Linked DNA regions of Caenorhabditis elegans. The protein of the gene in region 2 interacts with the protein of the main gene of each other region in a pairwise test. Each region holds a gene or a part of one and is shown on either strand. Other genes may lie near its edges. The genes, in order: ifb-2, tpst-2 and mpz-4.

What was found.
Region 1: the proteins of tpst-2 (region 2) and ifb-2 interact in a two-hybrid assay, tested with the Caenorhabditis elegans proteins (one large-scale study listed by BioGRID).
Region 3: the proteins of tpst-2 (region 2) and mpz-4 interact in a two-hybrid assay, tested with the Caenorhabditis elegans proteins (one large-scale study listed by BioGRID).

Annotation. Positions count from the first base shown.
Region 1 is NC_003280.10:5,745,355-5,757,429, reverse strand, and holds ifb-2 (Intermediate filament protein ifb-2), read right to left. Parts: upstream 7,231-12,075; coding exon 7,167-7,230; intron 6,189-7,166; coding exon 5,995-6,188; intron 5,709-5,994; coding exon 5,587-5,708; intron 5,542-5,586; coding exon 5,182-5,541; intron 5,129-5,181; coding exon 4,709-5,128; intron 4,614-4,708; coding exon 4,563-4,613; intron 4,475-4,562; coding exon 4,397-4,474; intron 4,348-4,396; coding exon 4,324-4,347; intron 3,976-4,323; coding exon 3,828-3,975; intron 3,775-3,827; coding exon 3,667-3,774; intron 3,617-3,666; coding exon 3,452-3,616; downstream 1-3,451. Other genes in the region: F10C1.3 (Variable outer membrane protein), read left to right, coding at 295-414; F10C1.8 (LTD domain-containing protein), read right to left, coding at 882-1,064, 1,115-1,222, 1,276-1,423, 2,907-2,950. UniProt on the Caenorhabditis elegans protein: Cytoplasmic intermediate filaments provide mechanical strength to cells. Not essential protein.
Region 2 is NC_003281.10:766,275-776,455, forward strand, and holds tpst-2 (Putative protein-tyrosine sulfotransferase), read left to right. Parts: upstream 1-4,983; 5' UTR 4,984-5,302; coding exon 5,303-5,340; intron 5,341-5,531; coding exon 5,532-5,658; intron 5,659-5,704; coding exon 5,705-5,899; intron 5,900-5,954; coding exon 5,955-6,163; intron 6,164-6,218; coding exon 6,219-6,429; 3' UTR 6,430-6,761; downstream 6,762-10,181. Other genes in the region: ptl-1 (Microtubule-associated protein), read left to right, coding at 2,284-2,584, 2,633-2,945, 3,014-3,100, 3,616-3,793, 3,988-4,236, 4,711-4,893; cyn-6 (Peptidyl-prolyl cis-trans isomerase 6), read left to right, coding at 7,140-7,337, 7,384-7,791; alh-11 (Aldehyde dehydrogenase domain-containing protein), read right to left, coding at 8,119-8,249, 8,300-8,376, 8,426-8,663, 8,712-9,377, 9,688-9,948. UniProt on the Caenorhabditis elegans protein: Catalyzes the O-sulfation of tyrosine residues within acidic motifs of polypeptides, using 3'-phosphoadenylyl sulfate (PAPS) as cosubstrate.
Region 3 is NC_003282.8:4,821,258-4,831,512, reverse strand, and holds mpz-4 (PDZ domain-containing protein), read left to right. Parts: upstream 1-4,192; 5' UTR 4,193-4,247; coding exon 4,248-4,349; intron 4,350-4,647; coding exon 4,648-4,758; intron 4,759-4,806; coding exon 4,807-5,024; intron 5,025-5,071; coding exon 5,072-5,220; intron 5,221-5,275; coding exon 5,276-5,586; intron 5,587-5,631; coding exon 5,632-5,807; intron 5,808-5,851; coding exon 5,852-5,993; 3' UTR 5,994-6,025; downstream 6,026-10,255. Other genes in the region: tat-2 (Phospholipid-transporting ATPase), read left to right, coding at 1-44, 439-571, 1,379-1,707, 1,927-2,143, 2,665-2,762, 2,869-2,986, 3,402-3,437.

The DNA.
Region 1 (12,075 bases), on a different chromosome or scaffold from region 2:
GACGAAGAGAGATCGCCAACAGTACCAACTACAATGCACAGACCGCTACTTGGAACTTTTGAAAATTATCGTTTTTTAATGCGCAAATCCCGATCCTCGATAGCGATGAATCCATTCTGCTCACTGTTTGTGAAACATTTTGTACAAGTCACAAGTAAAGCGTGGATTCGATTTAGAACCATTGAAAAGTCAAAAAGTGCAAGGTTATAGAGCATTCTGGACTGATTGATGGAATACGGCAAACAGTCGAATTTTGAATACTACTTTAACAAATTTTTCATATAAATATTTCAGGCCCTTGCTGTTACCGTCTTACCGGCCGTGGCAATCTTCTGTGGAGGAAAGAAAGGAGGAACGAAAGGAGAGAAGAAGGATTCAGTGTACGAGGATCTTGCTGCAGGAGACAAGAAGTAGTTGGAACTCCATCGACACCACCAATCAACAAAAGACGTCTTCAATGCTTTTTCATCGTCTTCTTCTAAAGAAGACCTCCTCCAGTAGTTTTGTATTTGAATATTTTGAATAAATATTTGAGTTTTATTCGTTATCACATTTCATACACAAGCGGCTTTCATTTTGGAAAAACTCACACTCACCCTTTTTGAAAGAAGTTCTGGTCAAGCTGAAAATTACTGCTTGACTCAGAAGCTGTTGACGTTCACATTTTGAAGCTCATGTTAGAATAGATTTTTATTATATGTTAAACTTGATCAACAATATTATATTAATTTAATGAAACTTCATTCATACTGAAATTTTTATTTTTGTTCATTTAGAAAACAAATAATGTTTCTTTTTGGTTTCATCTTTGCAACGGAAAATTAAATATACATATATAGGAATGATTAAAGTATTATTTGAAACGATTAATCGTAATGAGATTAATTAGATGATGGGTGTAATAACTGAAGGAAACGATCGATTAGAATGTGCGAAGCCTTTTCAATTCCGTGACTATTGTACAAGAATGTTTCAGCTTGTCTTCCTTGTCCCCATGATGCGTGAGATTCCATCACAATTGAGTCTGGTGTTAGGTTAATTTCTCCTGCATTGCGCCCGTAAATCTGTAATATTCCGGTTTCAATATGATATCTAATTTTATAATAATTATTACCTTAAGATGTCCGTGTTGTTGAATAACTAAGTGAGATGGGAGACGGAAAACGAAGGCTTGAACTCCATCAATAACACGACGGATTTCAAAGTTGCTTACATCTTCGGCCTGCAATTTTCCAATTTTTCATGTTCAAAATAAAAATAAAGATCTAAACTCACAACTGATCCACTGGTGTTTTCAAGAATGATGTACTTTCCTTGTGGATCGCACTCAACGATGCTCACATTTCCCTTAGCGTGTCTCTTGAATGAGGAACGAGTTTGAACCTCTCCAGAGTCCCAGTGATCTTGCTCGACTGGTACCAATCTGTAGAATTTAATATAACAATTCAAAACTAACGGGGGAAATAAGCTGAAAGTGCAACCAGAAACGTTTTTGAACTTCGCTTGGATAACCGTGGCCCTGCTCGACTACCAATCTTCAAAATGTTATTGTATAATATTATTTACAACTACCAATAAATTATCAACACATTAAACTATTTTAAATTATGAGCCAAGCCAGCAAGCATGACTTAGTACTTGATAATAAATCTTCCCAATTTTTAAATTAAGATGTTACATGTATTAGGTTGGTCCGGAAGTCTTTATTACTTTTTCAATCTTTTATTTCTCGAAGCAAGAGAAACGACAGGATAAATTTTATTTGCTATCATTATCAACAATATACTGTCTACATGTGGGCAACTTATTAATGCCCTGCTAACAGAACCCTTCCGGGCGCGAGTCGAAATAATGCTTGAGTGCCACATTGGTACTTTTATGGGTGTTGAAGATTCTCTGCTCGTGGACACGGGTCATATTTGAAAACGACTAGTATTCAGATGGAGTGAGGTCTGGAGAATACGGTGCGTGAAGGAGTACCATTCAACCATGGCTGGTCTGTTCCTACTATACTTGTTTCGAGAGATGGGGACTAGCATTGTTTTGCTGAAAATAGAGTTGCTTGTACTTCAAGGGTTAACGATCGATGACTTTCTTCAGGTTTCATGGTTAGATAACGTAGATGTCCCCACAAATTATTTTACCCTCAGGTAGCAGTTCCCAGTAGATGGGGCCGTACACTCCCCACCTCACTGAGAGCATGCCTTTTTTGGGGTGAAGGTCGGGTTTGGCGGCATCCTGTGGTGTCTCTCCTTCTCCAATCCACTGAGCACGCTTGTGGTTGTTAACGTAGAGGACCCACTTCTCGTTACCAGTAATGAGCCGGCCCAACCATTGATCGGCCCCGTGGAAAATGAGGAGGGAAAAGGAATCACCCACTAAAAAATAAAGGTTCGCTTGTGTCAAAATGTGAGGTATGAATCGACCCATACGTTTCTTTATTCCAAGAGGTTCCCAGCCTCGTACAATGTTGGTTTGACGGGGCTCAAGTGTGGTTGACAGCTCACGGGTGGTTTGGAAAGGATCCGTTGCCACGGCTTTCTGCAACGTGTCCAAATCCAATTTATGGGGTCTCAGAGTCTTCGAGAGAAAATTCGTCCTTCTCGAAGCTTTGGAACCAATTGCGTTTGATATTATTGTAGAGGACATGTGAATCATAAACATTCTTGAGGAGACTTTCCGAATCCTTCATCGTGGTATGAGAGAGAAAGAGGTACATCAAACCATATCGGATGTGGATCGCACTAGGGACATACATCGTTGGTTAACTAACTTCAGCCCAGAGGGAAGGGAATGAGGTGTTGCTTACAATGCAAACCCAGTTATAAAGACTTCCGGTCCAACCTAATATTAAGAACGTTTAACTGGTAGAAAAGTTTCATTATTTCATACAAAAGCGCATCCACCTGGTTCTGCCGTTCGAATTTGGTATTATAGTTCTGGATTGCATTTTCCCTTAGTGCTGAAAAATATATGTACAGCTTGCAACGTGTTCAATCATTTCCAAAAATTCTGTAGAATGTATTTTAATGTAGTCTCAGTCAAGAGCGAGTCACGACAACTCGGTTCAAAACCACTCCTAATTTTAATTATTATTACTATTATAAAAAACCTTCGAAAACCATAACTAAATGGCTTAAAACAATTGTCGAAAAAAAAAGCGAAAAAAATTTTTTTTAGAAATGGTTTTAGACCGAGTTATCGTGACCCACTTTTGACCAAGAAATTTTTTTTGGGAAGTATCGTGATAAGTACACTTCTTTTAATCATCAATGATTTTGAACTAAAACAATATTGAACAATTTATTTCAAAAAACAATTGGATTGGAATGTAGCAAGTATGTACGTCGAATGATTTTGGGAGTGAAGACAGCAAGGAAAGGATTCAATGGGCATTTCAGAATAAATTTAAATTCATCGAAAAAGAAATCGATTAGATGATGGAGATTTCTTAACGGGAAGAAGCGACCGTCGTCTGGATGTGCGAAGCCTTCTCAATTCCGTGACTATTGTACAAGAATGTTTCAACTTGTCCTCCTTGTCCCCATGATGGGTGAGATTCCATCACAATTGAGTCTGGTGGTGAGTTAATTCCTCCTGAATTGCGTCCGTAGATCTGTAATATTCCGGTTTCAATATGATATCTAATTTTATAATAATTAATACCTTAAGATGTCCGTGTTGTTGAATAACTAAGTGAGATGGGAGACGGAAAACGAAGGCTTGAACTCCATCAATAACACGACGGATTTCAAAGTTGCTTACATCTTCGGCCTGCAATTTTCCAATTTTTCATGTTCAAAATAAAAATAAAGATCTAAACTCACAACTGATCCACTGGTGTTTTCAAGAATGATGTACTTTCCTTGTGGATCGCACTCAACGATGCTCACATTTCCCTTAGCGTGTCTCTTGAATGAGGAACGAGTTTGAACCTCTCCAGAGTCCCAGTGATCTTGCTCGACTGGTACCAATCTGTAGAATTTAATATAACAATTTAAAATTAACGGGGATAGATTAAGCTGAAAGTGCATGTTTTCAGCTAAAAGCCTTGAGATTTGCTGACTAACAAAAATTGTTAGCCAAGAAAATGATAAATAGGTGATGTGAAAAGTAAGCAGTGTGTTGAGATAAGGAAGTGCGTGAAAAAGAGAAAAAGTGCAAGTGAAAGAGCATGAATTGTGAAAGCAATTAGCTATAAACTACTGTATCACTACGAGTAACCTTTGATCTGAAACTAGTACATTGGTACCTCTGCCAATTTGATGTTGAGATGATCTATGAAAACTATACTATGAATAACTAATCTACAATCTAGGATACCTTAAAGTTCCTTGCGGATACACTCTGAAAGGTATTACATATAATATATCTTGATTCTATTAAAGATTCCTACTCAGGATATTGCTGATATTGATGACTGTCAGAGTATTGCTGATCATTTAAAACAACGGGAGTGGAATCCCCTTCTGTTCTGGAAGTCAACTAGGAAATAAAACTAGATTCTAAATATCTACGTGTGCAGTATGTTAATGTCTATGAAGCGGTTATAGCTACCGAACCTTGTAGTCTCCTGCTGGGCGACAACGACCCCCTGTCCAACATGAGTGAATCTGTGAAAGTAAGGAAATGATAAAATGGAAGAATGAGACAATCAATTAAAGTATATGTTGCTCTTTTTGAGAGATATTTTTGTTACTTATATTACCTTCCTTCCTCGGACTCGACAAGCTTTCTGTAGATGGCAATCTCAGTATCCAAAGTTTGTTTGGTGTTAAGAAGAGCTTGAAGTTCAGCAATCAAAGTCTGGCAGTCTTCACGCATAAATCGGAGGGCATTGTCTCTCTTGTGAAGCTCTGATTCGTAAGCTCTTTGATCTTCTCCGAGTTGAATCTGGAGTGTGTTGGCTTCTCTCTCCAAAGCAGAGTTACGGGCTTCGAGCTCGCTGAGCTTGGCTCGCAATGTGGTGATGCTCTCGTTCATCTTTCTGATCTCCTCTTGACGGAAAACGGCAGCCTCGTTCTTGGAGACGATTGATGATTCGACGGCGCTAATCTTGCTCTGGAAGATTGTCTCAAGATCAACTCTGGTGGTTTGGATGATCTTGTCGTATTCAGCCTTGATTTCTCTGAAATAATTTAAATTAGACAATAAAACTATATCATTTTTTTTGAATCCAACCTGATAGCAAGAGCCAATTCATTCTTGAAGAACTCTCTTGTGTCGGCTGGAGCTTGAGCAAGAAGAGTGCGAAGCTCAGTGATTTCTTGAGAGTGGATTCTTCCCAAGAATTCCAGCTCAATCTTGAGGTCATCTTCCTCAGCTTGAAGGCGGCGGCGATCAACAATTGCGGCGTCAAGCTCATCCTTGGCGGCAGCCAATTGAAGATAGAGTTGATCTTGTTCAGCATAAAGTCTCTTTTCCTCGTCCAAAATGGCGGCATAGCGGGACTTGTTTGTGTCAAGCTCAGCTTGTGCTTGTGAAATAGCTCCTCCCCAAGTGGTCTTCTCACGCTCAACTTCACGACGGGCCTCTTCATATCTGAAATATTTGCCATTAGAATGGAATATGCAAATAAATTGTTACCTGTGTCTGTAGTCATTCAAATCATCTCTCAATCTGTCGACCTTAACTTCAACTCCAATAGTTCCAGAATGAGCTTCTGAGATCTCACGGCGAACTTTGACCAACGAATCGTTGAATTTGAACTACAAAACGTTGAGTTTATTATTCTGATGCAACATTATTAACCCCTCAAGATCAATTTCAATTAATTTTATTGGCAATCTTAACACACACATACACACCCATTTCCTCCAGAGCACTACTTGTCATCTTATCAGTGCCATTTTCAGTTTCTCTTTTAAATTCCTTACGCCTGCACATTTGGCAACGGGCGCTTTGTTTGAGAAGAATTGATATTATCTGATAAGAGAGAAATTGTGTCAACAACTAAAAGTGTTTCAGATTCTCCTGTAATTTCGGGGCACAAACCTTGATCTGTCCGATGTCATTTCCAAGTGATCCTCGGAGGGTGTCCAATTCAATCACAAGCTCCTTGTTACGATCCTCAAGTTGACGGACACGGCTGATGTAAACTTCAAGGCGAGAGTTCAACTGCTGCATCTCTTGCTTCTCGCGCTCGGCAGAGGCAACGAACTCCTCAGCGGCATGGCCGGCTGAGACACCTGAAATATTATGTAAACTGTGTTCCGATGTTTAAGCAGTGCTCCAAGAAGGACCATATTTTTTATTGTTATAAACTAAATTTTGTGAAAGTGTCTTATTGTGAAGGGTTTGGAAAAAGCAATACAAACTCATTTTTTAAAAATTAATTTAGTACGAATATGTAAAACAAAAGTCTGAATAAACCTCTGTTTTCCAAATTTTTTCACAATATTAAAATAGAAATTTTAAAAAATAGAGTTAGTTACAGCTAATGTTGTACTTTGAGATTTAAGATATACAATTTTCCGTGTTATATACCGTTTTTCCTATTAGTCTTGCACTCCCACTGCTTCATTTTGACAGCTCATATTAATTGTTGTAGGCTTCATCAAAATTGTTTAATTATAACAATGTAGAGTGATTTTAGTGTTGAAAATTATTTGATGAAATAATAACAATCGAGATATGATTTGTCAAAGTAATGCAAAGCAGGAGCAGAGTAAATTGGTTAAATGTGGCATATTTATTCTTTTTTTTTCACAATTTGGGCTAGCAATCAGAAAATTCCTACTTATAAGAGTGATCTATCTTGTCATAAACAATCTGATTTTTCACTGAAAAGTATTATATGCTACCATCTAGGAACAGGCCATTTTGCAGTTTGTCCCTACGCTGCAGTTCTCGTCTCAATTCTTTATTGATATCGTGAATTAAAAGTTAAGATCGAGTTTAATTTGTCGAAACTTATGGTTTTATTTAAACATCAGTTATTTTAACTTAAGCCCATAATCTAGAGAAACTGCTAGGATTAGTCGGCAATGTGTGAAAGGAGTTCACAACGGTGTCAATAAAGCCGACAAAGAGATTTGAAACAAAGAAAAAGATTGAGACAATGGAGGAGATCAATTTCAGACAAACTAGTGTCACCATATTATGGATTCCTCGGAGAAAACTCTCGAGGTCGTGTGACTGTTGGAAATTTGAAGAAAAGTGCTTACCTCCGTGTGATGAGGAGGATGTAGTTGTGGTGGTTCTGTGCATCGAATAACTAACCGCCGACATGATGAAGTCGCTAAAATTTTGAAAATAAAACAAAAGATGTTAATAACAAAAGAAGATAAAAATAAATAGAATAAGAAAACAATGTTATTTTCACACTTTCAGCAGTTAAAAAACCAACACCAATAATAAACGTTCAATCTTCAAAAAAATAAAGAGTCTTAACACCAAACCGTACAAAACGCGGAGTAGTAGGTTTGATTTTACAATGGCATTTTGAGAGAGCAAAGAAAGAGGGTTATCAGTTGGCAATGCTCGATTCCACTCTCTTTTATGGTGACTTATCAGTCCGAGTTTAGAGATGGAAAACGGAGGGGAGGGGGTGAAAAGAAGAAAAAAAGAAACTACTCTTTCTTACATTCTTTGTATTTATGAAACAAAATGACATTTGACTGGGAATGATGAGGAAGTTGACATTTGAAAAAAGGTGTTAAGAACCGCAAAGTCTGAAACTTTTTACTAGAAACTATGACGAATGAAATGTTAATAAGGTTACAACAGAACATAATCGGCAACAATGGAATATTTCAGAACTGAAACATTTTGTCTTCTAGATTCCTTTCAATTTAATTTTTAAGGATTTACAAATTTATCTGGATTTAATTGACAGAATATTTTCGCTTGTATTGTCATATTCAAAAATGTTTAATTTTAAAAATTCTAGAATTTTGAAGATGTGAAGGTTCAATCAAAATCTCTTCATCAATTCAATTCTCTCTTAAACTGTAATTCAAAAGCTACAAGTATTTCCTGAAAAAACTTTGTTTACTCTTGTTGTCTACTGAACTTGAGGTGTCTTATCTTAAAAAGACCATCTGTGTTATTTTTCACAAAAAAACAGCTACAGTAATTCCTTAAAAGTTCATCGCAATAATTTGATAACAACAAAATAGGTGAATCTTGCAACAGTGAACGAATTCCCTTGTAGGCACAAAAAACTCGAAGGTTACCTACGCGCTGTCTTGTACCTCTAGATTTTGTGCCAAATTGCAGACGAATATAACTAGGTAGGTAGGAAGACCTACCTACCGGCGGAGCGTAACTTTTCAAGTGTTCTGGTTAACATTTTATTCTGATTAAAGAGTTTTGTGAGTCATAAAACCCTTGCTAAAAAGTTCTTAAAAATTGTGCATTTTCGAAATTGAAAAAGCATCGAATTGAAACTATGATTGGAATTCCAAAATAATTCGAAACATCGCTTTAATTATTTAACCTTTAAAAAACTAAAAATCAACCACACCTCTTCTTTTTCAAATATTAAAGTCCGCGAGCTGCTAATCAGCATGAATTGGAATTTTGAAATTTTTGGAAATACAGTGTTTTGTTTTTTTAATACAATTCTTCCGTTTATGCTTCTTTCTCATTTTTGTGGTCAATTACTTTATAAAATTAGCCAAAGTATGAATACCAAAAAACAGGATGTTTAAAGAATTTTGCTTTTGGTATTCTCTACAACTCCATACATCTTGCTCAGTCCTCACGACTAGTCTTTGTACTTTCATTCAAACTTCATTTATCGTGTTCTTCATTTCGCATATTCTCTAACATTTGTTTACAGATGTGTGGCAGGCTTGGTTGGAACTGATAAAACAGCGTACTCCAATTCCTAGTAGAGCTCAAGTTTCCTTATCGTTTTTAACCGATAAAACGCGGACGCAAAAACGAAGACATTTTTGTGTTTTTGAGTGGAATGGAATGTGGTCTAAATGAGGGAGAAATGGCATTGAGTCATTAAAAATGACAGATGATGAGGGAAGGAAGCATATAACTTATGGAACCTTCCTAGGGGGAGTAAATGACTCAGAGTTCGTTTAATCTGAAAACATATTAGGAGAGAACTAACATTCTATAGTGATGAAGGGCTGAATAAACGTTACAGTAATGATTCTGGCCAAGTGTGCGTTGAATCAGAGTCTTGCAACATTTTTGGAGCTAGTTAGGCAACTATAATGGATAACACGATTTCCCTATGGAAGCTTTTTGACATTTCAAACGGAACTTTCAAAAATCTTAAACAGTTTTGAAAAGTATAGGTAAATCATTCAACCTCGTACAACTCGTTTCTCCAAAAATGATAACAGAAGTACTCTGATGTATGTTGGTGTAACTTTCAAAATTGTAGATCATGTTCAAATTTAAAATAAAAATAGAACCTGTTATTTTGGAGAAACTCAAGAATTTGAAGTTTACCGCAAACTTCTTGCCCCTCAACCACACTAATACCCTAGTCTTATTCAAACTTCCAGTACTCTTCTAAAAAATTTTGCAAACACCTGACTCACTAGTTACAGTAATCATACAGTAATCATGTACCATATCTACCTTGAATTTATACTTCTTGTTACTTCTCGCTTTTTTTCGTTGTTGGTCGCCTATTTCATTCAAGTTTGTGTCCTTGTGCACCTAAATTTTTTCTCGAATGAATGTTGACCAGATTGAACGTTTTTTTTGCTCCACCATAAATTTTAAAATGTCATTTTCATTTACACTTCCACACTTTTTGGCACTTTTCCAACCCTCGCAGCACTAATCCGACTTACACCTAAAACCTATCATCTCCTTTTTTCATTTTTTGTGCATTGTGGTGGTAAATACCAAAGACTCAGTTGTAGTACGCAAAGGTTTCTGATGATAAGCTTTTAGGAAAAAACGAGTGAGGAATATTATATTTCGGCGTCAAACAATTTGCGGCCGGGAACTTGCGATTTCTTCCGTTTGTTACTTCGCGGTTTATTATCGTTTTGTTAGATAAGTTGTGAATTGCACGATGGCACGGAAGAAATTGTGTGCAAGGTGAAAGGAATTGAAGTTTGCGTTTTTAGAGCGGAGTTATAGTAATACGTGAAATGATTGTAAAGGGCTATGATAATGCTGATGCAAAATTTTTGAATTCAATATTGAACTTTTCCTAATGGATATATTGTATTTTCAAAATAGCTGTAAAATGCAGTGATCAGAATAAGATCAACAGGGAATTTTGTTAGAATTTCCCAGTTACAATTTTTTAAATTATAAACTAGACTACATTTAGAAACAATATTCGCGAGATCAATATTTAAATCAAAACTAAATCATGATTTTCTCCGATTTTTTAAAAGATTTAAAGCATATTACCCTTAGATAATCTTAAAATACTATAGTTCAAGTGTTCATTTCATTCAGAATAAAGACTATTTTATTCTCAAAAAAAGATTCTTCAAGGTGTGAACTTGAACATAATCATACTAACGCCTATGAGAAAGCATGGTATCACAAGGCAGAAACAAGGAGCAAAGTTACATTTTTAGTTGGAGCAGCGCGTTCAAGGGAGAATTTCAAGTTTTTGGAAAACTGTCCTGTGACCTAAAAATGCTATCTATAGCAAAACTAATTATATTAAATGAAACGGTTGCTCAAAACCGTTTAATTTTTATTGAAAATTACCTTGAAAAGCTTGAAACAATTCTGCAACGTTTTGTTTATCGCAGACCTACTGAAAACAATTAAAATTAGAATAAATAATAAAATTTTGCAGGAAAATGATCTGAAGTTGTTGTAGCCATTTTCAGGAGAAGCTTACAAATACTAATCATCATTTACTATATATAAAGCGCTTATTCTGTGTGTCCATAGTTTGTAGTCTATGTAGTCTTTGTAGTCTGTGAAGTTTTGGCTTCTGGAGGGATAGTGAGTTAGGGTTAGTGTAGGGATATAGTCGGGGTACTGTAGTGGTACAATAGTGGTACGGTAGGAATACTGTAGGGTTACGGTAGTGTCATAAAAAATTAATTTTCAGCCCCAGAAGTCGGGGGCCGCGCCGAAGGTGCGGTCCACGGCTGGTTTGGAAATAATTTGGTCGTTATAAGAAATCAACATGCAAAAGCTAATGGGAAATAGCAAAATTCGAAAGAAACAAAACTGTGATTGCTCTGATCTTTAGTAGTCCCTAGTCTTTGAAAATGGAGTTTGCCTGTGGGGAATGAATTGTGGCTTGCGGATCGGTTTATTTTTTGTTTTGTTATCGTTAGTTTCAGTAGTTTTACCATTATTGCAAACACGTACCCATAATAATCGAAAATATTAAAAAGACCGGATTTTTCATATGGGAATGAAATGCTCTCAGAAATACCGAAAAAATAGAAAAATGTTACATGACTCATTCTCTAAAATTAATATTTTTAAATACCGTCTCATTTTTTACATTTAAAAAAATGCCGGTTCTTTTCTAAAGCTATATAAATCTAATATCAAGAAGCTTATTACTATTTGCGCACGGAGTTTTACGTATGTACTTACAATCTCTCGGAGTGCAAAAAATCGGTATAAATCTTGAGACAAATGCAGCATTCTCATCAAAATGACATCACTAGCGAGCATTTTTAATATTTTCTGATAAGATTCTTTTGTTACATATGTTGAAAACTATTGAAACAGATATGAAAAAAAATTGGGGTTCTTGAAAAAAGTATGAATTGGAAAACCTATAAATTTATTCAATATCTCTGAATCAAGTTGTCAAGTTATAGTAAAAGATTTTGGTGAGTTCAATAATAAAAAGAAAATTCGTCATTTTTTTTTGTTTTCAAATTATTTAAAAGATCCCACCAAATCCCGCGAAGTGCCCAGACTAGTCACAAATGTAATCAAAGTTTTCGATTCAAATATCGAATCCCCTCAACCAGAAAAATCCTAAACTAACTTGACCCTTTTGTGCTACTATTACAATGCCCATCTTATAATAACTGTATAGATGTCTTGATATCGATCAGTCAGTCAGGCAGGTGTTTCTTTCTTTTACAAGCCTTCACCTCTCCATAATTAGCTGTTCCTGGCAGATGTCTTTTCTTTTAATACCTCTGCCACGCTTCC
Region 2 (10,181 bases):
ACTTGCCAAAGCTTAATATTCGTCCTGTACCTAAACCCTGAATCAAAAGCCCGTAGGTCAATCTCAACAAACAAAAAAGTTGACTATTTCAAACAATCCTTGTGTTTTGCTGTTCAGATAAGAACTAATCTGTTCAACCATCAAGTTTCCAACAGGAACATGCACAAACTGACTCTAGCAGAACTTGCTCCCTTCCGTAGTCATAATCACTTTGTTTGTCTCTAGGTGTCTTTGTCAGTAGTTGATTATCCCTCTGATGCCTTCCGTGAGTAGTTTTTTGTCTATCTCTCAACCCGCCGTGAGGCAGCTTCTTGATTTATTGACATAACGAAGCAAGAGAGGGAGACAGCAAGAGACAAAAAATCAGATCATCGGTTTTTTTTTGTTTGAATTGTTTGAATTCGAGTTTCACGAGCCCAGTTCGACTTCCAAGCACGCACGATTTTACAATTCTTGTTGTAGTTTGACAAAATTTGCTTTTCATGTGCTTTTTTTTGTCTCCTGCCTGTTTCTCCTTATTCTTCGTCGTCTTCACATTTGAATTAGGAGAAACGAATTGCAATGAATTGAGTGGTTTGTCCTTAGTAAAATAGCGCATGTCCCTGTGAGACTTGGGCAAATAAGTGTCGCGCCACAGAAAGACCTTCCTCTTCCGAAGACAGTAATCATCGTCCGGGTGGGATCCATCACATCCACTAGTTTGAGTGTTCACCTATGTTTAATTTTCCCCTGCCTTTTTGGGTTAGTCAAGTTAGGAAAATACTGAGTGAGACAGTTTTCATATTACTGAAGTGGAAAAATACACCTCAGCAAAACTCCTCTTTAAGCTTGAAGCTCTTCAAGATCGGCAAGCTTACTTTGGGCATACTTGAATTTCAGACACAGGATAAATGAACTGAATTCTTTGTATTTCAAGCAAAATAGATATCCCTTTAATTCTTTCTGTACATATTTTGAGATGTTTTATAAACCTATTTTTGAGTGGCATCATTTGGAGAAGTTGCCAAAAATGTTAAAGTTTAGCTAGTTTTCATATACAAAAGTATCTAGCACTTTAATTTTCTAATTTTATTCAACAAAAATGAGCCCACCTAACCTGTCCACCAAAATATGCACAAAAAATATTTGCTCTCTCATTTGCGTTTTCGAGTGTATTTCTATGTTTTTTTTTGCCCGTGTTGCAATGTTTTGCTTCTCACTCGACTGTTTGTCAATTCTCACAGCTATACACCGACGGGTGTTGTCAGGAGAAGGGCGAAAAGAAAAGAAAACGCTAAATTTTTTATGGATACTTACTCTTTCCCGGGTTGACCCCGTGGAAAGCCAGTTTTTTTCTCTTTTTTTCACTTGGCAGAATGCTTTTTTTTGTTATTCCTGACCACTCTGAAGTCATGTGTCTGTAGTTTTAGAGATTTTCAATTAATTTGTAAGGAGGGGGAAAACCAATTTCTATTTGTGCTAATGTTTTTCTGAATATATTTTTCATCGAGCTTCGAAAAATGGAATATATTTTCAGTTTTATTTTTATAACCGAGCAAAACTAAAAATTGATGATTTTCCAAATTTGCCGGAAAAAGAAAACGGGAAAATGTTTCGAAAAGGCACAATTTTAAGTGTTTCCGTCCCTCATAACATTTTGGCCAAATAGGAAATTTGCCGGAATTGAAAATTTGCTGCAAATTGGCAAATCGGCAAACCTAATTAACGACCACATCGCCACATAGATCTAACAAAAGCCACTAAAATAGTAAATCCCTTATCCTTCCCTTTCTTCATTTTTATTTTCTCTTCCCAAAAGCTCTGTTGGTATTCAATTTCACATCGCATCGTGTGTCTCTCTCTCACTGTTTGTACATTATTCACTATTTCCACGCCGCCCTTTATTTAGTGTACACATATTGATGTACAATAACAATATCCCCAAAAAATTACCAATTTGTGGGTTAAATTTCGAGGAAACTGCTAATTCTCCCGTTAAACTCCACTTTGATGTTTTAAGTCCTCACAATTCTTTGATCCATCCCGATTTCGGTTTGTCGGTGTGAATTGTAAATCTCAAGGACACATTTATGGCACATTTACCATTTATCCCCCCCCCCCTTTTTTGCCTATTCACTTCTACACATGAATACACCTCCTACCACCCATCTGAATACATTGTGACACACTCAAATACACAGAAATTGACACCCTTCGGAATATTTTTGAGATATACTTCGCGTTTTGCTTCTGTGTTTGTCTTTTCAGTTTTATTGGAGAAAATTTTAAAATTATTAGTTTTAGGAAACTCAGTATAGTCAGGGCTCTTTTCCGGAGGTTGCAGTAGAACCGGAGCCCGAACCTGAACCGGAACCAGAACCTGAACCGGAGCCTGAACCGGAGCCTGAACCGGAGCCTGAACCGAAGCCTAAACCAGAAGTTGAACCGGTGCCACAACCAGAGCCTGAGCCAGAGTATCAACCTGAACCGGAGCCTGAACCAGAGGTTGAACCGGAGCCAGAACCTGAACCTGTGCCGGAGCCAGAGCCTGAACCGGAGCCAGAGCCCGAACCAGTAGTCGAGAAGGAAGAAGAAGTTGTAGTCGGTAGGTTTCAAATGTAATCTTCAGCATTCTTAATCTCTAGATTTTCAGAATCTCCTCCTCGAGAACAAGAACCTGAAAAATCTGGAAAATCCAAGCCTTCGAGTCCGATCCCCGACGCCCCAACAATGGAAGATATCGCTCCGAGAGAGCTCGAGTCTCTAAACTTTTCCGAAACGTCTGGTACCTCCGATCAACAAGCCGACAGAATTATGCAGAACAATGAAAACGAGAGAGTCGAGGAGAAGAAACAAATGAGCCCAACTCCATCACAACCCCAACATAAGACCCCACAAAGATCTGGGATTCGGCCACCAACGGCGATTCTGCGACAGCCAAAACCGATACCAGCATCTTTGCCAAGGTAATTTTTTCATTTGTTGCTCACCTAGTGACCACTCATCACAAATTCTGAGCATTTCCTTGTTTTAGGCCAGCAACTGCTACTCCCTCGTCTCAACGCGCTATTAGTACACCAAGACAAACTGCTTCAACAGCGCCATCTCCGAGACCCATATCGTGAGTGTTTATTTTTTCATAACAATTTCTCGAGTTATTTGAAGATTAAAGATGGGTTTGGTTCTGTCCGTCTTATTGTATCCAAAATACGTTTTTTTTTTTCATTTCTCTGCGCTTATATGTATTAGACGTATCTTTGCCTATTTTTTTCATTCGTGGTAGTAAATAACTAGATCTAAGTTTGCTAATGGACGTATCTATACTCATTTCCTGAAACTATCCCATAGTGAAAATACATCACCTAAACTTGGTGCGGAATATTTGTTGTCTGGGTATTGCAAAACATAATTGCTTCCTCTATTGTTGTGCACCCAACTGCTCCTATTTCTTTTATGGCACCTGCGATCTCAATTTTTCAAACTTTCTCACATTTCCACGTAGAATTTGAGTTATTACATATAGTTGTTACTTATATATAGAATGTTATCATTACTGATTGACCATAAATTGAAAATTTTGCTTGGCTTGAATAATCCCTATTATAGCCAATTAGTAAAAAAGTAACAAATCTTCAGAAAAATGTCTCGAGAACGGTCGGATGTTCAAAAATCCACGTCTACGCGAAGCATCGATAATGTTGGAAGAATGACGCCAAAGGTTAACGCCAAATTTGTAAATGTGAAGAGCAAAGTGGGAAGTGTCACCAATCATAAGGCGGGCGGCGGAAATGTGGAAATTTTCTCGGAGAAAAGAGTGAGTGAACATTAAAAAATTTTTCTGCGATTTGAGCCAATCAGATGACGTTTATGAAGGTCGCTGTTTAGCTCAAAAAAGAGCTGAACAAATCGGTCTTGTAGATCTCATTTTTGGAGAACACCAAATAAGGATGTTCGCCAGAAGTTGCATTATCAAAACCTAGATATTTTTTACACATTCAGTTATTTCAGCTCTACAACGCCCAATCCAAAGTTGGCTCCTTGAAAAACGCAACACACGTTGCCGGAGGCGGAAACGTTCAAATCGAAAACAGGAAGCTAGATTTTTCGGCAGCTTCACCAAAGGTTGGCTCGAAAACCAATTATCAGCCAGCAAAGTCTGACGTGAAGATAGTTTCGGAGAAGTTGACTTGGCAAGCTAAATCAAAAGTTGGGTCAATGGACAACGCAGCGCATAAGCCTGCTGGTGGAAATGTTCAGGTATTTTGAAGATTAAGAATTTGAAACACGAGTGAACTTGAATTTGACGTGGTGGCTTTTCATATTGCAGCTATTGATTTTCAGATATTAAGTCAAAAATTGAACTGGAAAGCCGAGAGTAAGGTTGGGTCAAAGGACAATATGAATCATCGGCCTGGTGGTGGAAATGTTCAAGTTCGTAATAAACTAGGCTACACACACAATATCACGCTTTTCTTCAGATTTTCGACGAAAAAATCCGCTACGTGTCGACGGACTCGAGCCGGAATCATTCTACGCTGGACATCAGCTCGTTATGATCGGACCACGCTTTCACTTGAATTTTACCACACCTCACTGATCTTCAGAGGTTTTGTATTTTTTCAGCAAACTGATGACCTCTTTTTGTAATAAATTTGATTATTTGAATAATTCATCTTCTCAGCACAGTTTATCATCCATCACTGGATCACAATTTGCCCCACGAAATTTCAGGTAATTTCCAGCGAAGTGGCAGTAAGTCGACCAAAAATGATGACGGCCACAATAATTGATAAGAAGAAGGATTTTGCAAAACGACAAAGTGTCTCACAGAGATCTTCAAGCAATTCTCTACTGCCCAACAAATTTCCAGGCGCCATTTATCCTCTTTCTCCTGATTTTATATTCAATCGCTGATGTATACCGCGCTTAATAATATGCTTTCAAATATTTGTGCAACTATTGAATTAATTTTTGAATATATTAACTGTTCCCAGCCGTAGTTTCTATTTGACTTCCCTGAGCATGTTGAATCGAAGAATTTTATCCCAAGGTTTCAGCTTTTTTATCTATATTTTCATTTTTTGCTTTACAATCTGTCTTTTGATATTCTCTTCAATAAAGTGGTAATTAAAAGTGTATCGTGGGTTCTACTTGAAAATGGTAATTTTTCAGTAAGAAACTTCAGGAAAAGTTAGAACAGCTAAGTCTTTCAAAAGAGAGCTTAATCTTCAATGAGCAAGATGCTCGACACTCGAGACGACTCCTCTCAAATTTGGAGCAGCTGATTTTTGTGGGTGGTGTGCCGAGAAGTGGGACTACTTTGATGAGAGCTATTCTAGATGCACATCCGGATGTTCGATGGTAAATTTAGAAAATTTCAAAAATGCGATGTATGCTGCGCTTGGCCAAAAGATCTTGAATTTCTTCTCCTTTAAAACTTTTAAACTCCGTCGAAACAAGGCTTTCTGAAGTCAAGACTTTTTCTTGACAATATGATACTTCTTATTCAGAAAAAACAAAACGTATTACTTCTGCTCACTTCAAACTTTCAGTGGCGGTGAAACCATGCTGCTTCCAAGTTTCCTTACATGGCAAGCAGGCTGGCGGAATGATTGGGTCAATAATTCAGGAATTACTCAGGAAGTATTTGACGACGCTGTTTCAGCATTCATCACTGAGGTAGTGCTCTTGTCACCGTGTTCATCTTTAATTGCAATTCATACAGATAGTCGCGAAGCACAGTGAACTAGCACCTCGTCTGTGCAACAAGGATCCATACACCGCATTGTGGCTTCCGACTATTCGCCGACTGTACCCGAATGCAAAGTTTATTCTGATGATTCGAGATGCTCGTGCCGTAGTTCATTCAATGATAGAAAGAAAAGTACCAGTTGCTGGGTATAATACGTCTGATGAAATTGTAAGGTCTCCCTAATGAAACTCTTGAATTTCTAAAGATAATTTGAAACATTTAGTCAATGTTTGTTCAGTGGAATCAGGAGCTTCGAAAAATGACTTTTCAATGCAATAATGCGCCAGGGCAATGCATAAAAGTATATTATGAACGACTGATTCAAAAACCTGCGGAAGAAATCCTACGTATCACCAACTTCCTGGATCTGCCATTTTCCCAGCAAATGCTAAGACATCAAGATTTAATTGGAGACGAAGTTGATTTAAACGAGTATGTGCTTTCTTCATTAAAACTTTTGAACTTCAACTATCTCTTAATTTTGCAGTCAAGAATTCTCTGCATCACAAGTTAAAAACTCGATAAACACTAAAGCCTTAACCTCGTGGTTTGATTGTTTTAGTGAAGAAACTCTACGAAAACTTGATGACGTGGCACCTTTTTTGGGAATTCTTGGATACGATACGTCGATTTCAAAACCCGATTATTCCACATTTGCGGATGACGATTTTTACCAATTTAAAAATTTTTATTCTTAAAGTTTTGCACTGTAACCTATAACTTTTATAGAAAATAAGATGTCCAAAGTTACCTACATCATAGATTGTTATTATTTTATTTTTATCTATAGATACAACTGTTAACCTACATCATTATCATTATCTCCCATTGTTTTCAGATAGAGGTCAAGGTAACTTTCTAATTCTCCACACTCTCTGCAACACTATAAAAAAGAATGCGCGCACGCACAAATGTCCACTATTCCGCCGGACACGGCTGCTTCCTGCAGCTGTATCGATTTTTCTTTTGTCGTTTTTTTCTTTTCGAACAGGATTTTTGAATGCATTCTTCTATATTTTTTGAAAAATAAAACTTGCAATTAATATACTTACAATTAAATACATGCTGTTGGATTTCTAGAAAATTGCTTACATTGTTAGTTAAATTAAATACTATGCATTATATTTATAAATAAAATATTTATTTATTATAACTTAGTACTTAGTACTTAAGTACTTAAAGTACAAAGTAGGGGAAAAAAGATCAGGAACTAGAAATCTTATGATTAAATTTTGATAGGCTAAATTATTAGAATTTTGTTTAACTTCAAACGATTAATTTTGAAACTAAATTCTTACTTTGAGGTTTTTTTAAAAATCATATTTTATGTCAAATCCGACTTTTACCATATACTACTCTAATTATATTACTATGAAAATGAGCATCCAAAATCTCAACAAGTTTCCAGATGAGCCGTGCTCTTCTTTTCTTCGTTCTCGCCATTCTGGCTTTGTCAGCCGAGGCACGTGGACCACGTGTCACTGACAAGGTCTTCTTTGACATGGAGATCGGAGGAAGACCTGTTGGGAAAATCGTCATCGGACTTTTCGGAGAGGTCGTGCCGAAGACAGTGAAGAATTTCGTTGAGTTGGCACAGAGAGCTGAGGTATTTCAGTTTGTTAATTAAATTCTGTAGACTTTAATATTTTCAGGGAGAAGGATACGTTGGTAGCAAGTTCCACCGTGTCATCGAAAACTTCATGATTCAAGGTGGAGACTTCACACGTGGCGACGGAACCGGTGGACGATCGATCTACGGCGAGCGCTTTGAAGATGAGAACTTCAAGCTTCAACACTACGGACCAGGATGGTTGTCAATGGCCAACGCTGGAGAAGATACCAATGGATCTCAATTTTTCATCACTACCGCCAAAACCTCATGGCTCGATGGAAAGCATGTGGTGTTCGGTAAGATCCTGGAAGGAATGGACGTAGTTCGTGAGATCGAGGCTACACCAAAAGGAGCTGGAGATCGGCCAATTGAGGATGTTGTCATCGCCAACGCTGGACATATTCCAGTAGAGAACCCATTCACTGTCGCCAGAGCAGGAGTTAATTAAACCTAATGATCTACGGGTTTTCCAATTAATATGTGTATTTTTGTTGAATGTACTATAATTACTTTCTAAAATTCTAATAAACGTGTTTTGTTTCAGTACTTGATTATACAGCGCTGTCAGGATGTGCTACGTTTTGGAACTTGTAATAGTATTAATAATTGAGCAACCTGACTTGCCAATGTTCGAAATACCAAAAACACTATATCATAACTTTGTGGAGTATTGGTTTCAATTCTGAAGTTGAAATACACTTCTAAAAGCAATAATTTATTCTCGATCCGTTCGTCTAACTAGTAAAGTATAAAGATTTGTACATTTGAAGACTCATTAGAATGGGTTGGGGCACGTTCCGGTATTGACAAAGACCGACTTCAGGTGAGTATAATGTTCGAGTACTGCTGTTCCGTTTTCACGTCCGAATCCTGATTCTCCGACTCCTCCGAATGGAACCAGTGGCGCTGAAATTACAGGTTCTTTTCTAGATCTAGTGGGATTCGGAGCAACTTACAAACATCATTATAGGTATTGACATAGACGTTTCCAGCATTCAACTGCTCAGATACTCGATAGGATCTTGAGAGGTCTCTGGAATAATGAGATTTTCATTGAACATGCTTTAATAGGGTACTCTTACTTCGTGACTAGACCCGCAGCTAATCCCATATCGGTGTCATTTGCAATTTTAATAGCTTCATCTTCGGTATCAAATGGAATGATTAGAAGTACGGATCCAAAGATTTCCTCCCGATATACTGTCATTTTGGGTGTAATGCCTGTTAAAATACATGGAGACAAGTAGAATCCATTCTCGAGGCCATGAACGGCCACACGATCTCCACCACAAAGCTTGGTGGCTCCTTCGGCAATGGCAGCTAAATAATGGTGTACTATTGAGAATCTACTTAAATTTCTAAACTTACTACTTATATACCCTTCGACTTTGTTACGATGCTCTGCAGAAATATGGGATCCAACTTGAGTATCCTCTTTCAAAGGGTCACCAATTTTCATCTTCTGCGTGTGATCTACCAACTTCTTCGTAAACTCCTTCAGCACACTTTTATGAACCAAAACTTTTGAAGCATTAGAACAAACTTGTCCCTGACTGTAGAAGTTAGCCATCATTGCACAAGACACCGCCGAGTCGATATCGGCGTCGTCGAACACGATCAATGCGGATTTTCCACCAAGTTCCAGGGTTACTGGCTTGATATTTCGATCGGCGCAGGCTTTCATGATTTTCTTTCCAGTTGGGATGCTTCCAGTGAATGATACTTTTGATACCCCATCATGATGAATGAGATCTTGTGCAGTTTCAGCGTCACCTTGAATAACATTGAACACTCCATCCGGTAGTCCAGCACTTTTCAAAATTTCAGCCAATATCAGTGCAGTTACGGGTGACAGCGGGCTGGGCTTATATATGACAGCATTTCCACAGGCCAGTGCTGGTGCAGTTTTCCAGGAGCATGTTTGAATTGGATAGTTCCAGGCACCGATGGCGGCGACCACTCCAACAGGAAGACGGCGTGTATAGGCGTAACGAGAAGCATCGAGTGGAACGTGTTGACCGAGAAGGTCAGATGCTAGATTTTGGAGATCAGGATTTGTATGTCATTTGTTGCTGATAATTATGCCAAAACGGGAGATGAGCGGGAATTTGAATTGGGTTACGTCACATATATCTTACTGTAGGCAGCCATTTAGAAAGCGCATATCTAATCAGGGTATTCGAAAATGAATTTTCTATAATTTTTTGATATCAAAATGCTATAGAACACCTACAAAACAACTCAAAAAATCAAAAATTAGAGAACGCTTATTGTTTTTTGAAAATCTCTTATCATGACTGCAGTTGTCGTCATTTTCTAGAACCAAACATTATTATGCACTTACCAATTCCGGAATAAAAATAGAAAGTGTCAACACAAGAAAGCACGTCAGCTTTTGCTTCTGCAATTGGTTTTCCATTACTAATACACTCCCAGTAGGCAATATCGTTGCAATGAGTTTTCAGAAGATCTCCAGTCTTTTTCAGAATTTCGCTTCGTTCCATCCATGAAGATTTTGCCCATTGTTTTTGTGCTTTTTTGGCTTCTTTCACTGTCAAATCGACTTGATCTCTAGTTGCATAGTGCCACGTGGCCATGGGTTTTCCTGAAAAAAATGTTTTAAACATTTTCAGATGAAAAGTTATTAAAATTGAGAAATGGAAAGATTCGATGGTTTAAAAAACATTTTTTTTCCATCTGGCAGTTTTTTTTTTTTGGAAAAAAGTCGAGAACAACTTTTTCAACTCAAAAAAATTAAATAGTTTTTTTATTTTTTTTATTTTTTGTAGATTCATATAATTTAAATCCGGGGTGGGAGGTAAATGATTTTTTCGGAAA
Region 3 (10,255 bases), on a different chromosome or scaffold from region 2:
AATATGAGAATATTTATTTATTCTGTACTTCATGGAATGTTTAGGTAAGGAATTAAACAGTAAACTTTAAAAGTAAAACAATTGCTTTTAAACAAAAAATTCTACTGTTTCAAAAAATTTATAAGAAATACAGTTTTGGTAATTATTTGTTCTTGTATTGCTTCTTTAAAAAATATTTCTGCTATCACATTTCTCAGTCAAGAAAAGTCAAGAAAGTTCATGATGAGATTTCTTTATTTTTTCTTAAAAGATTTGCCAAATCAAGGTGATCCCCAATCATTTTACGCTTGTTCCAACTTATTGAAACAGACAAAATTATGAAAAAAAAAATTCATTTTCAAAAGTTAATAAAATAGAAAAATTTTTTTAAAAAATATTTATATTCATAACATTTCTTTCATAGCTTCTCAGAATACTTCAAACATATATTTGTTGCAGTTCCCTTGTGATATTCTTCATTCCATATGGTGCATTTTACAACGCAGCTGCTGCTTCTGGAAAGGATTTGGACGATTACTCGGCTCTTGCTTTCACTACTTTTACTGCATTAGTTGTAGTTGTTACTGGACAGGTATGGGTTTTTTTAAATTTCAATTTAGCGTAAATCAATTGTTCTAAACATTTTGTGACCATATTGAAACATACTTTGAGAATAAAAGTATATGTGATTTGATTGAAACTTTGATAAGAATTAGTTTAGACAAAGAAGGCAACGCAATAGTATTCAATATTCATAAAAAATAGTAGAAAATGTAGATTACCGTTCGGCAAAATTTGCCGGCTTGTCGATTTGCCGCAAATTTTTATTTTAGGCGAATTGTCAACTTTCCGTTGACCGAACATCAATCTTCCGGAAGTTCTCAGAGGGATTTTTTATAAGACGGAAGCTCTTAAACCTGTGCTTTTTGAAATTTTTCCCCGTTTTTTCTAGATATTTTCATAGAGTTTACTTTTTTTCAAAATAGATGTCCGAACATTTATAGAATGCCTACGATTCTGTCGATTGAAATTGAAATTCTAAAATTTCCAGAAAAAAAAATGCAAAGCCACAATTTTTTTTCAAATTTTCGGCAAATTCGGAAAATCGGTAATTTGCCGATTTGCCGGAAACAATCGTTTGCCGCTCATTTTTGAGCTACACTACCACAACCAATTAATGCATTTTATGAAGCAGATTTTTTTAACTGATCATGAAAAAAAAAATTCAACATTTTCACAAGATAATTATACACAATTTAACATATACCACAATGGGTATCTTTTTATTGAAACTGTTTATTTGAAACTTGAGAAGAAATAATAAGCTTTTTAATTTTGTCAAAAAATTTGATACATTTCTGAAACATAATTTTTTTTTTCAAAAGTTCAAATTTTTCAGATAGCCTTCGACACGAGTTATTGGACGGCAATTTCGCATTTTGTAATCTGGGGATCACTTGTTCTGTATTTCCTTGTTTGCTTCCTTCTTTACGAATGGCTTCCAGTTTCATGGATTGTCAAAACATCATCTTCAATCTCATATGGTGTCGCTTTTCGAACAATGGTTACTCCTCACTTCTGGTTTTCAATTCTAATGGTTTCAGTTGTACTGTTACTACCAGTTATGCTTAATCGATTCTTCTGGCTTGATACACATCCATCATTTGCTGATAGGCTGAGAATTCGAAAGAAAATGGGCAAGAAACCATCGGCGAAAGATGATAAAAAGTATGTTCGCTTTTCAAAATTTTAATGTGCGATCAGGTCAATTCGCAATAGCACTATACTATTCGATGAAGCTCCATATTTGAAGATAGCATGAAATAGTGATTAAAAATTGTACTCACATACATAATTCAATTTCAAACTTAGTTTCTATCATTCAAGAAATCGTTTAAACGTTTTGAAATTTTCATTAAATTTATTTTTTTAAATAAATACTTTCAGAACCGCATTCAAACGCACGGCAGCAACTCGACGAAGTGTCCGTGGATCACTTAGAAGTGGTTACGCATTCTCTCATTCACAAGGATTCGGAGAACTCATTCTCAAAGGAAAATTGTTCAAAAATGTGGAAAATCTACGGGGAAAGAATAATTCGAATGCGAAAATTCACCCGACTTCTGATGACTTGCAGCCGATGCTTATTTCTAGTGTGCCTGATGTAAGTTCAATGTGAATTTAAAATTTTTTGGCATGAGAATCGGAAACCTAGATAATTTAAACCTAGACAGAAAATGAAATTACTACTCCCAGTGAATAAAAGATAATCAGCAATTTTTAAAAAATCTTTGAAACAATAATTTCGGAAAATTTCAAATAACTTTTTTTCAACTTTTTGCAACTTTGTGCAGTTACAGACAAATTTCCATTTAGAATTTAATTGTTTTCAAATGTTAGCATTATCCGAGACATTTTTCATGCTTTTAGCCATGAATAACCAAACTCAAAATAAGTTCACGTCCCACTACTAATTGTACAGTAATCATATTTATTAATTTATAATGTTGTTGAAACATTCCATTAAATTTTTCGAACAAAACTTTTTTTCACTTTGTTTGAAGGCAGTAAAACTTTGAAGCAGTAATTTTTAAAATCTCAAGGGTAACATACTTATGGGCTAACTTTTCAGTTTTGTTTTTACAAAAAATTATCCATTTGCCCTTCTAATATAATATATTTCAGGACAGCCAAGGAGCTTCAAGTATTAATGCAATGCACCTTCCAATGGGTACACGTCCACAGAATGTACCCCATACATTGAATGTAAATACTGATGACTGGTAAGTTTTCACATAAAATTTTACACACTTCTAAAGCACGTTGCTTCACTTCTGATATACTTACCGTACTTCTATTGTAACTCTATTGTGTGCCATTTATTCACAGGTCTCAATCATCGGATTTCCGTCCAGCCTATGCAAAGGAACCATCACCACTGCAGGGTACAGTAATCCGTGGCGATGGACGGAGCCATAGAAACCACGTGTATTCGCGGGAAACTCAGGTATAATTGTGCTCCATCCGGTTCTGCCGCTTTTTATCCAAATCTGGCGTTTGTAAATAATTTTCATAATGAATTCTTATTTGTTTCAATTTGCTCAAATTATCTAATTTTGTGTGTACTTGTGTTTGTGTGTTACTTATTTATTATAGTTAGAACTTAATTTTTTTCTTTTTAAATATTAATTTTTATGCATTTTGAGATTACAACTATTCAACATACAGTACTCCTATGGAATACTGTAATTTATTCACTTTTGACCTACTTTTTGATCTCGTGCAGTGCAGTGTGTGCTTTCATTTGAACCCTTTGTGCTTTGACCCTTTTTCTGTTAGTTTTCAACTTTAATTCATTTTTTTTGCAATAAATTTACTTTTGATACATTTTTTCTAAATATAATATTTTATTTTTCCAACAGGTCGAAGAACAACCAGACGTAATCACTCGCCTTTAAAATTCATTTTTTGCATTTATTTTCCGATTTTCTTTCAAACATTCTTCCCCGTCTTGTAGGCACCGGTTTTAGGCTCTCAATTGGGTTTTGTTTGCTCTTTTTCTTCAATTTGCTGTAATTATATAATTGGTGATCGCTGATAATGTGATTGATATCAAAATGGGTAATTTATGATGTATTCCAATCGTGTAATTTTTGAAATATTCAATAAATAATTGTTCATATTCTTGTTGTTGATTAATATATCAGTGTCTATAAAAATTTAATTAAACAAGCAGTGGCAGAAAAAAATTTCAAAAAAAAATGCAGTTTCAAGACATTATTATTACTTTTTTTTAACAAAGGTAACACAAAGTAACAGTTTTTAAAAAATTCTATAGTTTCTCGAAATTGGTGAAAAAGTTTGGATTTCACAATTTAATTTGCTTCGTTGGTAAGTAATTTTCAAACTCACACGTTTCAACGATTTATTTATTTATTTATTTTAATACGATTCCATACGAATCGTGTCCCAAGAAAAAACATAAAACATAAATGATTGATTTTGAATCACGCGATTTTGCAGTTTTATGCCGAAAACATTCTCAATAAGTTCAGTTCTAAAAAAAAGTTAGAAAATCACGTTGAAAAAGATTTAATAATTCTGACCTTTGATATTTTATCTTCACGTTCGATCAATTGCTCTAATTTTTTATTCCCTCCCCCCCACCCCCTCTTATCATTGTTCTTCTCGATTCTAATTTATTTCACAACAATCGATAATTCAAGTATCAAACAAATTCAATTCAAAGCATTTGATAGCTTGAAAAGATGCCACAAGAAATTCCACCTGCAGTCAAATATAAAATCTATCCGGAAGGTGCAGAGGGAATAGACACGGTTTGGGAGCGGCCCGGATTCAAGAAGGGAGAGGTGAGAGGGGTTTTTTGGAATTTGGAAGTTGGATTTGGAATCGAAACAGTGAGAAATTTGAATAATAATTTTTGAACTTTATTCAAGATTTTTTTAATAATTAATTTATTTTTCTTCATTGTGAACAATATTTCTTGAACTAAGTAATTGAGGCAGTCGGGGGTGTTCGAAAGAATATTTTATTATAGAATCAAACTTTCTTTTTTTTAATGGTTTAATGGTTTTTTTAATGGTACACTAGTAGTGAAACATAATTTTATTTTAAAAGTTATTTCTATTCTAGAAACACGTATTTCAGATAGAAGCTCGAGTCAAAGATGTGGTCATTCTGCGTGGAGAACCAGTTCCAAACAGCTACAAAATGCTTGTAGAGGCCACATTTGAGCTCCCAAAGAAGGATAAAATAACGGTAAGCGACATCATCAATGACTTTATGTAAAACGTTTTTGATTTCCAGCAACTCGGACTCGTCAATCGACATGGGTTGGTCACTCGTGTTCATTACGCGAGCCCATTCAAAGGAGCAATTCTACCGGGTGACATCATCTTGCAAGTGAACGGTACGACTGTCTCATTCGATGAGAAACAATTGACAGAGCATGTCGACGAGACCACCGGTGGAGCAAGTCTCCAGTCAAATGTGAAGACTGTTAAGAGGAAGCCAACGACTACACCGTAAGGACAAATGTTATGAAAACTTGAAAAATATTTACCTTATTAAGGAAAACTGAACCTGTGAGAGCACCACATTCACTTTATCCAGACTTCAAGGTTGTTGTCGGAAAGATTTTGAACTCAAAATCTGAGACAAAGATTACGGTTCTGGTCGCTAGATTGAAGAACAGAATGTCTACGTCTAAGATTCCAAATGGTAAGTTTGAATATTTGTTTCTTATTGTGAAACAGTAATTTTCATATAATTTCAGGTATCTTAGCCACACAGGATCACACCATCGATTTGGCCATTCTCTACCAATTCAAATACCTGCAGCTTGGTCTGAACGTGCAGCAGGTCGACAGAAAAGTGGTGGTCAACTACACTATTCCGGATTCAGTTTCACATTGTAGTTTGAATATTGGTGAAGCTATTATTGCTGTTGATGATAAACCAATCAACACTCTGGCAGATAATCGTCAACGATTTCGCGAAGGATTTGAGGCGAATGGATGGATTCGATTGTTGGTTGAGTATCCGAATACGGATCCAATCAAAAATATGGTTCGGGGACAGCTTGCAGTTGGTTATTTGCCTCACATTTTTTTTCTTCTATTTTAATTGCAGAATGTTATGAGAACTGCCGAACGACCGCAATACTTGCTTTGTGGAGATGTCCGTAAATACTTTGTAGAAGGAATTGAAGCTCTGAAAAATGGAAAAGCGTTGGCTCCCATTTTAAAAGAGGAAGAAGGGCCGGGAGAAGTTGGGAAGAAGAAGAGTGATGCGAAAGTTACCAAAAAGTATGTTTTTAAATAAATTAAGATAAAATCTTCAACTAATTCAGGGACCCGGCTGTTGGATTCAACAACACAACTGAAGAATTTTTTATTCCGGCGGAATGGAACTCGAAGCTTTTCGTTTGGCTCCCGCCGCTGAAGACCAAGGTGACCGAATCGGCATCTTCGAACATGCCGGTTAAAAAATGAACTTCATTCTTCTTTAATAAAACATTTGACTGATCTCGGGCGGGCTCGAACCACCGACCTTCTGTGTGTTAGACAGCACAGGTAAAGCGCTAAAAGCGAGACATTAACCAAATGTACGTGAAGGCCCGCTAAAAAGCCAATGATGGGTCGCACCTAAAAATTTTTTTTTTAATTATTGGAAAATCTAACATCGGTGATGGAACAATTTAACATTTTTTGGAAAATACTTTAGTTAAACATTAATTTCAGCTAGATTGTTTTATTCAATCATTTCAAATTTCCGAAAAATTTTTTTGAAAATCAGCTTTTATATATTTTTATCAATTAAAAAAAAACACCCGTACAAGCTATTATACTCTGTTCGGCATTTGCTGCTATTTTTGACTATGCTTAAGAGTTTTATGAAATAAAAAAGAATGACTCCATATGATTTTACAGGACTTTTGAATTTTTGAAAAAATCAGCTTTTATATATTTTTATCAATTTTTAAAAAAATACTTCCGTACAAGCTATTATACTTTGATTGACAGATTCTGGTGTTTTTGACTATGCTGAATAGTTTTATGAAATAAAAAAGAATGACTCCATATGATTTTACAGGACTTTTGAATTTTTGAAAAAATCAGCTTTTATATATTTTTATCAATTTTTAAAAAAATACTTCCGTACAAGCTATTATACTTTGATTGACAGATTCTGGTATTTTTGACTATGCTGAATAGTTTTATGAAATAAAAAAGAATGACTCCATATGATTTTACAGGACTTTTGAATTTTTGAAAAAATCAGCTTTTATATATTTTTATCAATTTTTAAAAAAATACTTCCGTACAAGCTATTATACTTTGATTGACAGATTCTGGTGTTTTTGACTATGCTGAGCAGTTTTATGTAATAAAAAAGAATGACTCCATATGATTTTCCCATACTTTTGAATTTTTGAAAAAATGAGCTTTTATATATTTTTATCAATTTTTAAAAAAATACTTCCGTACAAGCTATTATACTTTGATTGACAGATTCTGGTATTTTTGACTATGCTGAATAGTTTTATGAAATAAAAAAGAATGACTCCATATGATTTTTCAGGACTTTTGAATTTTTGAAAAAATCAGCTTTTATATATTTTTATCAATTTTTAAAAAAATACTTCCGTACAAGCTATTATACTTTGATTGACAGATTCTGGTATTTTTGACTATGCTGAATAGTTTTATGAAATAAAAAAGAATGACTCCATATGATTTTCCCATACTTTTGAATTTTTGAAAAAATGAGCTTTTATATATTTTTAATATACAAATACTATTTTCAAGCCATTAATTCATTTTTCTTCCCGGAAATCGATTTCCGCGGAGATGGTTGCTGGCTGGTAATGGCTGTGGAAAATACTTAGTTAAACATTATTCAAGCTAGATGTGTTATTCAATCATTTCAAATTCCCGAAAAATTTTTTGAAAATCAGCTTTTATATATTTTTATCAATTAAAAAAAAACACCCGTACAAGCTATTATACTCTGTTCGGCATCTGCTGCTATTTTGACTATGCTTAAGAGTTTTATGAAATAAAAAAGAATGACTCCATATGATTTTACAGGACTTTTGAATTTTTGAAAAAATCAGCTTTTATATATTTTTATCAATTTTTAAAAAAATACTTCCGTACAAGCTATTATACTTTGATTGACAGATTCTGGTGTTTTTGACTATGCTGAATAGTTTTATGAAATAAAAAAGAATGACTCCATATGATTTTACAGGACTTTTGAATTTTTGAAAAAATCAGCTTTTATATATTTTTATCAATTTTTAAAAAAATACTTCCGTACAAGCTATTATACTTTGATTGACAGATTCTGGTATTTTTGACTATGCTGAATAGTTTTATGAAATAAAAAAGAATGACTCCATATGATTTTACAGGACTTTTGAATTTTTGAAAAAATCAGCTTTTATATATTTTTATCAATTTTTAAAAAAATACTTCCGTACAAGCTATTATACTTTGATTGACAGATTCTGGTGTTTTTGACTATGCTGAGCAGTTTTATGTAATAAAAAAGAATGACTCCATATGATTTTCCCATACTTTTGAATTTTTGAAAAAATGAGCTTTTATATATTTTTATCAATTTTTAAAAAAATACTTCCGTACAAGCTATTATACTTTGATTGACAGATTCTGGTATTTTTGACTATGCTGAATAGTTTTATGAAATAAAAAAGAATGACTCCATATGATTTTTCAGGACTTTTGAATTTTTGAAAAAATCAGCTTTTATATATTTTTATCAATTTTTAAAAAAACACCCGTACAAGCTATTATACTTTGATTGACAGATTCTGGTATTTTTGACTATGCTGAAGAGTTTTATGAAATAATTAAGAATGACTCCATATGATTTTTCAGGACTTTTGAATTTTTGAAAAAATCAGCTTTATCATAATATTATCAATTTTTAAAAAAATACTTCCGTACAAGCTATTATACTGTGATTGACATATTCTGGTATTTTTGACTATGCTGAAGAGTTTTATGAAATAAAAAAGAATGACTCCATATGATTTTTCAGGACTTTTGAATTTATGAAAAAATCAGTTTTTTTTATAATTTTATCAATTTTTAAAAAAAAACTTCCGTACAAGCTATTATACTTTGATTGGCATATTCTGATATTTTTGACTATGCTGAAGAGTTTTATAAAATAAAAAAGAATGACTCCATATGATTTTTCAGGACTTTTGAATTTTTGAAAAAATCAGCTTTTATATATTTTTATCAATTTTTAAAAAAATACTTCCGTACAAGCTATTATACTTTGATTGACAGATTCTGGTGTTTTTGACTATGCTGAATAGTTTTATGAAATAAAAAAGAATGACTCCATATGATTTTACAGGACTTTTGAATTTTTGAAAAAATGAGCTTTTATATATTTTTAAAATACAAATACTATTTTCAAGTCATTAATTCATTTTTTTTCCCAGAAAATCGATTTCCGCGGAGATGGTTGCTGGCTGGAAATGGCTGAAAGACACAACGAGGAAAAACAACAAGCTAGCCACAACACCGTCAGAGGTCTACAACCGATTAATGATAATTTTCATATATTACGATTTTTGCTTAATAAATGCGCTTTACCTGTGAGATGTGATAATCACTACACCACGAGACCGCTGATTTTTTGCTCCAGCTTGTTCCTACAGTTGATTGTGGAAACTGGATTTAAACATACTTATTATTCATTGTCACAAATTTCCCCACGAAATTACCATAAGCCAACACTAATTCCTATGATCGATGTGCCTATTTTTTATTGATCTATGATATTTTCCGGTGGTTCTCCCTCTATTTGTTCAATTTTTTAGCTAGGAAACAAAACACAATTCACTAATTTGTTTCTTATCTCCTCTCAAAATATTATTGACAGTTTACATTCGGTTTTCAATTTCAAATTTTATATTTTATCAATCAAGGTAATAACAAAAAATGTCAAATTTGGTTTCCCATTTTTCTCTCTGTATCCTATCTCTAAGAATTGCGACAGGGCGGAGTTTAGAGAGTTTTCACGTCACAGACAGTTTGATAAAAGATTTTCAGGTTTTGATTCCAATGGTTTTAGTTTAACTTTTTTTCATATTAGTTGCGTTTTTTTTTAATATTGTAGCTTGCAATTCTCTGAATCAAGTGCTCATAGTTGGATGGGTCTCGCCACGAAAAAAGACAATTATCGCTTTTTAACACGGTTTTCAAATGAAAATTCGACAATTGAATAACTTTAGAAAAACTTAATTAATTCTTGCTACCAAATACACATTTTATGCATTTTTGTGCGGTAAGGCCCATCTGAATAAATCCATGCCCTTTAAGATACGAGATTCAGAAAAACTTGATATAAGAATTCATTTCAACCACTTTTTTCGATCACAATTTGTCTAGTTTAACCAACCCAGTTCTTTGATTAAAACGGAAACATATTGTTATCAAATTAGGAACGTTGTGTCTCAAGATAATTATCAAATTGTTTTAAGTTTTTCGTACGCAATATCTTTCGAAAAAAAACCAAAACGACTTTTTTATTGTATTGCACTGGCTCATGAGTATTGAGACATGAACTGAACTGATTCCTTTATTTATGTGAAATATGAAAAATATTTTACAAGTAGAATTTATGACATTTCAGCGATTTCATAAAAGAATTTTCATGCGTTTTTAAAAAAATCAAAAAGACGTTTACCATCTAAATTCCAAAACCACGT